Drosophila melanogaster: one gene and its partner. The protein of the gene in region 1 interacts with the protein of each later gene in a pairwise test. Each region holds a gene or a part of one and is shown in the gene's direction. Other genes may lie near its edges. The genes, in order: Nup58 and CG10809.

Evidence for each region.
Region 2: the proteins of Nup58 (region 1) and CG10809 interact in a two-hybrid assay, tested with the Drosophila melanogaster proteins (one large-scale study listed by BioGRID).

The regions. Positions count from the first base shown.
Region 1 is NT_033777.3:19,643,095-19,647,468, forward strand, and holds Nup58 (nucleoporin 58kD), read left to right. Parts: upstream 1-1,931; 5' UTR 1,932-2,070; coding exon 2,071-2,994; intron 2,995-3,055; coding exon 3,056-3,772; 3' UTR 3,773-3,812; downstream 3,813-4,374. Other genes in the region: Vha13 (vacuolar H[+] ATPase 13kD subunit), read right to left, coding at 414-584, 644-744, 1,112-1,193; CG6195 (uncharacterized protein), read right to left, coding at 3,876-4,037, 4,119-4,374. UniProt on the Drosophila melanogaster protein: Component of the nuclear pore complex, a complex required for the trafficking across the nuclear membrane. Together with Nup54, required for transposable element silencing regulation in ovarian follicle cells.
Region 2 is NT_037436.4:9,856,729-9,861,895, reverse strand, and holds CG10809 (uncharacterized protein), read left to right. Parts: upstream 1-2,006; 5' UTR 2,007-2,406; coding exon 2,407-3,483; 3' UTR 3,484-3,558; intron 3,559-3,832; 3' UTR 3,833-4,513; downstream 4,514-5,167. Other genes in the region: iPLA2-VIA (calcium-independent phospholipase A2 VIA), read left to right, coding at 1-501, 561-896, 959-1,191.

The DNA.
Region 1 (4,374 bases):
TTTTTTAAGCACCCAGAGGCGTGACTATCGCCATCGCCAGTGTTGAGCACCGATGAAATGAACTCGCCGCAAAAATCTTATCACGCAGCAGCTGACTGCAGTGCAGATATGAAAAATGCGAGCAGGAAGAAAGTGAGGAAAACAATTGAAACACATGACTTTTCGGATAAAACAACAACGTGTATTGGGCAGAACACAAAACAATGATAATACAATCCCGCGCGAGTGGGAGGCAAACTAATATGCTCGCTTTTTTCTACATGGAACAACAACGAATTTTCACTTTAATGTATGGAATAATAATACAGCAGTGTTTCCAGTTAGATTAACCACTATTATTACGGGTCTAAATTATGGATTAGAGTTGAACGTGGACATTGAATTTACAGCGCACAGTTTGGGGGGCCACCTCTTTACTTGTGGTTGTAGTTTTTGTGCACCTCGGGCGAGATGTTGTACACGTACTGCAGGATCTCCAGGATGAACGGGTCCTTGCGGGTCTGGATGGCCCGGTCCATGTCGGCCAGCTTAACGCGGATATCCGCATCGATCTTGGCCGCCACGCCCTCGCGACTGCCCATGTGCTGTAATCGGGGTTCACACGGTATTACATGTACATAAGTTTCCCTATGTGGCGTCTTACCTTGGCCTCGAACTCCTTGAAGGCGCGCTCGCGCTCCTGGCGGAACTTCTCGATCTCCTCGGTAGCCTCGTCCTTGGCTTGCTTCAACCTCCTTGCCTTGCCTGCGGGATTACCCAGAAATCCAGATGATCATATCAGTTCAACTTGGCAAATCAGCCCTCCGCAAGATGACCTTCCATAACTTAAAGTGCCAACTCGCACAAAAACTATTTACTGCACTTAAGTTGCAGTCTTAGTGGCCACAAACAATTTTAATTTAATTTAATTTAATTTAATTTAGTTTAATTTGATTTATATCTCGAGTTATGGAGGATTGACTTGTATTTACTTTTTTCCACCACATCATGTGACCCACACACAACGGTGATGGTGGTTATGGTAGCACGGGGGCGGGGTGGTGAAAAAATCGCAGTTACTTGTCGCCCTGCCATTTCCAATTGGATTTTTGTTTCTGAAAATGAAACTTACGTTTACGAGCCTCGGCGACCTTCTCGGCTGCCTTTTTCTCGGCAGCGAGCAACTGCTGGATTCCCTGCGTCTGGCTGGCCATAATTTCCAAACTTCTCTAATTCCTCGCCGTGGTGTATACTGTGCAAGTCGAAAAAAGCAAGTGCGACAGAATCACAATCGACGACGAACTGTGAAAAATGTCATATGACGAAGTCACACACACGCAAACTCACCACGGTGGCTAGTTGGTGTGGGTAAGCAGTGTGCCGGAAAGCTGGGTGCTGCGAAACTCTTGGAGATGGCTCGGTCGATTGCATATCGATTAGCTTAGTTGTATATTATTGTTTGGTATTGTATTGGCCAGAAGTATTAAATAATTTGACGTTTTTGTAAGCATTAACTTTCTCATTTATTCCCATCATGAATATTTTTCTTTTATAATTTTGTAAACTTTAATTCATTTTAATTTAAATGCAGCGTTTAATCTGCTTCGCACTGTAATAGTTCCGGCTGTATTTAAAGCTATTGTAAGAAATTAGTTCGTAAAAAATTCTTTATATTATTTTAAAATTGAAATACATAAAGATTAAATTTTGAAATAATTTATTCATATTAATATCTGAAGGCTATCGTTTGATATTAAATAACAACCATGTTGTAGTGGACCGAACTCACCACACCTCAGACCAAAATTAAATATTTGAAAATCACAAATCGTAACTATATGAAGCTGCAAATACTTTATATATCTTTAGCCATAGTGTATTTATTTCAATCAATTTGAATACTTTGTTGATATTTTTCCGAATAAATCTCTGCTGACTAGCTATCGATATCACCGATAGTGTCATCTCTGTCCTAGAAGTTAAACCACAGATGCTCAGGCATTAAACAAAATTAATTTCGAAATTTGTTGCAGTAAATATAGTTTAATTGTTTAAAATTCCTGTATAAATCCTTAAGAGGGGTGCCTAAAGATGTTTACGCCCACCACGAACAACGCCATTGGAGGCGCCACTGCTGCTACCGGCGCTTTTGCTTTTGGCGCGCGACCGGCGACGACGACTGCTCCGCCTCCATCCTTTGGAGCAGCCACCTCTACGCCAACCTTCGGTGCTGCTCCGGCCACCACCTCCTTGTTTGCAGCTCCCGCGGCCACACCGGCCTTTGGGGCACCAGCTGCTACGCCGGCTTTTGGAGCACCTGCGTCCACGCCTGGTTTTGGCGCCACTTCCACTGCGGCGCCGGCTTTTGGAACGGCTGCTGCCACGCCCGCTTTTGGCATACCAGCAGCAACGTCGGCTTTTGGAGCTCCAGCTGCTACGCCCGCTTTTGGAGCTGCAGCTGCCACTCCCGCTTTCGGAGCACCCGCCGCCACGCCCGCTTTTGGAGCACCCGCCGCTACATCCGCCTTTGGAGCACCAGCAGCCACAACGGCGTTTGGAGCGCCAGCTTCCACGCAAGCATCGGCCTTCGGAGCACCTGCACCAGCCGTGGGCACTGTGGCTCCCACTTTCTCCTTTGCCACCCCGGCCACAAGTGCGCCGACCACCGCGCCGCCGGCCTTTGGATTCGGCACCACCGCCACAACGGCGGCAGCTGCGATGCCAGCATCCCTCAGCTCCGGAATTGGATCGTTTTCCTTCCCCAAGCCACAGGCCACCACGGCGGCCAGCTTGAACTTTAACACAACCACGACGACGGCGACGGCACAACCCTTCAACACGGGTCTGAAACTGGGAACCACCAATGCGACGACAACCCTAGGAGGAGGAGGAATCTTTAGCAAGCCAGCGGGTCAGGCAGCTGCCCCGGCAGCATCGACTTTCGTGGGTCTGGGGGGGATCGATGTGACCGCCACGCAACCAAAGCTGGGGGACAATAAGCAAGATGGCATCAAGGTGCTGACCATGAGTCTTTCACAGAGAAACAAAATAATCATTTTATTTTCGACCACTCCAGATTAAGGAAACCCAAGTGCCCGACGAGATAATAAAAACGGTGGATGGCCTAAAAGCGTATATCAAACAGCAGAAGACCATCTCCTCTGACATTGGACGGACATCCACCTCCAAATTCACGAATGTCAGCCACGAGATCACGAACTTGAAATGGGCGCTGCAGAATATGGCCACTTTAGTTGAGGGCAGCAATCAGCAGATCCGCCTGATGCGCCAAGAGACCGTCAAGGCGATTCAATCTCTGGAGATGGCCCAACGCACGCAGGACACCCCAGCCGGCCTGCAGTTCGAGAACAATGCTCCGTTCCAGTACTTTCAGTGCCTGGTGGCGAAGTACGAGCAGGATTTGATCGCCTTTCGCCAGCAGATCGCTCTGACCGAGCGCCACATGCACGCGATCTCGAATCCGCAGAGTATTTCGCCGGATGATCTAAAGCGTGGCTTTCGCCAACTTAATGAGAGTTTCATCTCGCTGGCGGGACGCCTCCACGAGGTGCATCAGCGGGTGGAGGAGCACAAGGAGCACTACCTAAACCTCAGACGCTACCGCCTGCGAGACACCACCAACGTTTTCGAGCGGATTGACAATCCTCCGCTGCCGACGGTGGAACCTCAACGGATTAGTAGCGGTCCAACGCCCTTCTCCAACATCTCGGCTCTGATGAACAAGTCCTATGCAGCGGCGGCCAGTTCCGCCAGCAATGCGACAGGCAATTGAGAATGGCACTCTTTACAAGTTTCAATAAATCGTTATGTCGAAAGGGGCCTAGACTTTCACTTTCAGTTATAGCATAGAATATATATTTCACACGCAACAATCTTTATTTCTTCACCACCTGGATGACGTCCTCGTCGGCCATCACATGGGCAATCCCCACGCGCTGCGGCGAGTATTTCGTGGAGGTGCCCCACACCAGGGCATACTTGAACTGCGCCGCCAGCGTGCGATGGATGGCATGGCACACATGCTCCACACTGACGCCCTAAACAAGGAATATATAAGGAATTAGAGTTGCTTTACCAGGCTGAAGAAGGAATTGGATGAATGGAAAACAGTCTCTTGCCTTTCTCAGAATCAATCCATCGTCAAAGTCTGGAGGAGCGCCTGGCTTCTTTGTGTACACTCTGATGAGCTGGAGAGCTTCCCAGAGCGCCTCCATCATGTAGTCCAGATTAAGTTTCATGTTGCAACTAACCACTATCGAGTTTGGCTGGCGCGCCAAGCGGTCCACCTCCTCGATGGAGATCTGATCGATCTTGTTGTAGACATACAGACAGGGCAGATACACACGGTTGGCGGTGACCACGTCGATGAACTCG
Region 2 (5,167 bases), on another chromosome or scaffold:
AAAAATCCGCTGTGTCTAGTCCGGAGCAGCTGCCTTCACCCACCTCGCCCATTGCCGCTGAAATAGGCGATAAACCCTACGGACGCGGACGTCTGCTCTGCTTGGATGGTGGTGGCATTCGTGGTCTAGTCCTGGTACAGATGCTACTCGAAATAGAAAAGCTTTCTCGCACTCCTATTATCCATATGTTCGACTGGATTGCCGGCACCAGTACTGGCGGAATTCTAGCTTTGGCGCTGGGTTGCGGCAAAACGATGCGTCAATGCATGGGCCTCTATTTGCGCATGAAGGAGCAGTGTTTTGTGGGCTCACGGCCCTATAACAGCGAGTTTTTCGAGTCCATTTTGAAGGACAATCTGGGCGAGTTTAACGTGATGACGGATATTAAGCACCCGAAGATCATGGTCACTGGTGTGATGGCGGATCGCAAGCCGGTCGATCTACATCTATTCCGCAACTATACGAGCGCCAGTGACATTTTGGGCATTGTGACTCCAATTAGTAAGTGAGATATCAACCAATTATCGAGATAGCTCTCTAATTTTATTTTAATCTTTTAGACAACCGAAGAATTCCTCCTCCTCAGCCTTCGGAACAATTGGTATGGCGTGCTGCTCGGGCTACTGGAGCTGCGCCCTCATATTTCCGCGCATTTGGTCGCTTTCTGGACGGCGGCTTGATTGCCAACAACCCGACTCTAGACGCCATGACCGAGATTCACGAGTACAATATGGCCTTGCGTAGCGCTGGACGCGAATCAGAGGCCATACCTGTATCCGTGGTGATGTCGCTGGGCACGGGTCATATTCCGGTGACTGAACTTAAGGACATTGATGTCTTCCGGCCGGAGAGCATCTGGGATACGGCCAAACTGGCCTACGGAATCTCTACCATTGGTAAGGCACCTTATCTATAATATACTCGTGTGCTTTCTTAATCAAATGCATATCCTTGCTAGGCAATCTGCTAGTGGACCAGGCCACCTGCTCCGATGGAAGAGTAGTGGACAGAGCTCGCGCCTGGTGCAGCACGATTGGCATACCCTACTTCAGGTTCAATCCTCAGCTGAGCGAGGACATCGCCATGGACGAAAAGGACGACCAAAAACTGATCAATATGCTGTGGCACACTAAGGCGTATATGCACGCCAATCGGAATAAGATAATCGAGATGATCAATTTCCTAAAATAGCATGCAAGACGGATTTAGACCGCATTTGCTGTAGAGATCTCTCATTCGAGGGATCCTTTCGATTCATGTCCGTGTACTTTAGACTCGTTTAACCCTCTTCGTTTTTATTAAGCACCTTTTCTGAGGTCTAAATCAGCTCACTCGCTGGGACTTCCACTCTCAATAGCACCGATATCCTCCCACCACTTGGCTACAAAACAGAATCTGTGTGATTATCCTTAATTTTTCCAATTCCGAGGCTTCATCTCCAGGATTAGCAAACGAAATACGCTTTGTATATTGTGTTATTGGACTTAAGAGGGTACCATATCAGCACATTAATTTCGAAAATCTTTTATTTAATGTATTATAATCGGCCATGTATTTTATTGTACGTAACCCTCCAATTGAGTCGTTTAATTGATAAAAACATTCCGTGCCTCTGTTAGAAAATGAATGTGTATGTAGTATGTCGAGCACGAATTTTGAATAAAACTTTTTAAGTGTTTAAACCTGTTTTTAATGAATTCCCATTAAAATAGTTGTAGTACTGGTCCAGAAGCTAACATACATTAAATTATAGATCTTGAGATTGCAGGTTATAAGATTAATTGGTTTAATTACTTAATGGGTTTAGTTGTTGAATACTAAATTTAACTTCATGGCAGAGAAATGAAAAGCTGAAAACATTAAAATATTTTTTTAAGACTACAATACTGGATGTTAAAAAATGTTATAATTGTTTTTTAAAATATTTTTATGTTTAAATATTTAGCCTACCAGGGCTGGCTAATCGCGATAGTGTCCTCGCCAGAAGTTCCATTCTTCCAATCGATAGCTAGCACACTAGACATATGTATGTATCGATAGGCCAAAACAAATACAAACAATACAGACGAGCCAAGAATTTTTGCTCTGCGTCCCAACACATAAAAATCCATAACAAAGTGAGTCAAAGTGTTTTAAAACGAGGACTACGAACGCAATAGATGAAGATAAACCATTGCAGATCAAGATTAATACGCTCAGGGACGGCAGGGTCACACCAATAACGGGTGGTCAGAGTGACCAAAGTGGGCAGGAAAAGAAGCAAAAATAAACAAACAATACAGACAGGAAAATAAGCAGCGCGTGCATGGGAAGAGTTTTTTCGCCTTAGGCCCAAACACTGAAACCAGGAACACAGACGCACTGCATCACTGGCAACGGGGCACACAATCCGATTGCGACCAAGCTATGGCTGCGGCCACCAACAACGATTCCTCCGGCGTGGAGTCGGCCAAGGAGGAGGTGGAGATGTCGATGCCGCCATCGCCCATGTCGATGGCCATGGTACTGGCCAAATCGACACCGATGCCCATGCCCACCAGCGCCTCCAAGGGGATCATGATAACGCCGCCGCCACCGGCAATGCCGCCCACGCCCACATCGTCGCCCAACACGCACGGCGAGTGGCCCCACATGAACATCAACCTCAACCTGAACATGAGTTCAAACCCCAGCACGAATGCATCATTCCAGCTGAGCAGAGATCGGGGCGAGCACTTTGCCCTGCCGCATCTGCCGCCCCTGCCGCTGAATCCAAATGCCTCCAATGCCGAGTATCTGCCCAGCCTGATTCATCCAAGCACCCTGCCCTCGGGTAGCAAAAGCTTCAAGATGCGGCCGCGAATGCAGCGTCTAAAGCACTCCTACAGCTACAGCAACATAATCGTCCAGTCAAATGGCCGCAAACTGCGCACCGCCGCCTCCACCTGCAACATCGAGCTGCTCAACCGCATCCTTGAGGGTGGGGCCAATCCAAATGCCGCCGACGAGTACAATCGTAGTCCCCTGCATCTGGCCGCCTGTCGTGGCTACATACCCATTGTCCAGCAGCTACTAAAGTACGGAGCGAACCCAAATGTAGTCGACTCGCTGGGGAATACCCCACTCCATCTGGCTGTGATTTCGGCCAGCTCCAATAACTTCAACGTTGTGGTGGGTGTGCTGCTCCAGGGCGGCGCCAGTGTCCACATGTACGATCGCAGCAACAAGTCACCGCTGGAGCTCGCCGAGGCCAAGCTAAGATTGCTGCGCAATCGTTACGATCACCCTACGCCGGAGACGGCCAAAATCCTCGAGGACATGTGCATGCTGACCACGCTCATCTTACGCTACATGGTAAAGCAGCAGCGCGAGCTGGAGGATCTCTCCGCGCTGGAGAAGCGACTGCAGAACCTGAGCACCAGCGATGACCAAGAGCAGGTCGTATCCCAGACCGCCGATGAGCTGCTCGCCAGTGTCGAGCGGCTATCAATCAACAACAAGTAGACGGGACGTAAACTGGACGCCAGGGTAACCCGACCGCAGGCTGGCCCAAATTGCGTTCGATGAGTTGAGAAAAAAGTGAGTATGAAAACAAATAGTCTACAGATATATACAAATATACATATATGCAATACAAATAATGAAACCCCAAGTTGTGTTTTTAAAAACGTTATCTATAAAGCATGTGACGTCGCATTTGCCATTCCGCAAAGCATTTGTGATCTTAGTCACTCACAAGATTAGAAGCAATAATGTTTACAATACCTTAATTATATGTCAAATGGTTCGGAATATTGGTTTTAATATTTTTTCAGACTAGTGATACTAATCAACTGCTTTCTTTTCGTTGCAGTTTGTTTATCGTTTCCTAATTTGGCTGCCGTTGAGCTGGAGTTGGCATTGTGACAAGCAGCTGGAGGAGATTGAGATCCTGCGCCCGATCCTAAACCCACAAAGCTGCCAAATGCGACCAACGCTCTCAAACACACAAGCACACACATACACACCCACACACAAAAGAAAACACACATTGTTTTATGCGATCTTTTTATTAAGTATTTCATTTAAGGCTTATTGTTTATGCAAACAATCAACAAACATGATTACATTTTAAGCTTTACGTTTAGCGCGCCAAAAACAAAAAGAAATCAAGTTATGTAATAATGATGCAATCGCAACTCAAGAGGACACCTAACAATTTGCTACATTACATTTAACTAAATGACTACATTACTTGGAAATCGTTAAGTGTCTATTGTATACTATAACAAAAAAAAAAACCATATGCGTGTAAACACTCTCTGAACAATAAACGAAAAACCAAACGGCCATTTGACTTAATCCGCAGATCAAGCCGAAATCTGTAACTAAATAACTGAGAGGACTTCTGAGTGAATCTGGTTTGTGGTGAGGATCTGACAATCAAATAATCTAGAAAATCCTTTTCAGAAAATCAAACTGAAAACGTTTCTACTTAGATACAACTTGAAACTTCATTTTAACATAAGTTTGGTGTTGCCAAGTCTATTAATGCATTATGACAAACGGTTTTGATATACTAATTGCCCTTGATTGGTATATATTTTAAAATCCATAAATTCAACAAAAAAAATCGAAGCTTGAAAATCATCTATAAATCTATTTAACAGCCTTTTCCTCTTGCCGTTTAAATGTATTCAAAGTGCGATTAGGAAAACCCACATTGGGGTCTTTTATGAGTATTTATGTGTAAACTTCACATTAACATGAGGTGGATAAGAAAAACTAAACGTTTTAAGAAACTTGTTCACGACGCAAATAGTAAACGAAGTTTACGAACCCATATTGACGTCAAGATCGAGTTAATACTAAATAAATGTTGTAAATTAGGGAGATCAAAAAACCCGGTCCAAATGGGTTTTTCATTCATAACGAAATAATAACGGAAGCTAGACAAATGACCAAAACACTTTTCCGGACATAAATATGAGAAAATATGGGAGGAGTGGGTTTATAAACAGGCCCAAAAACCTGAAACCGAAACTCGTAGACCCATTCATACGAATGGAAATGCCACAAAATACTATATTTATAACATCTGCGCCTAGCTTCGAATTTTGTGGGCGGGGCAAATGGAGGAGGAGGAGGAATCGAGTGGACAGCTGGAAACGGAAAAAAAGAAGAAAAGCCCTGTCTCCTCTTCTTCCCA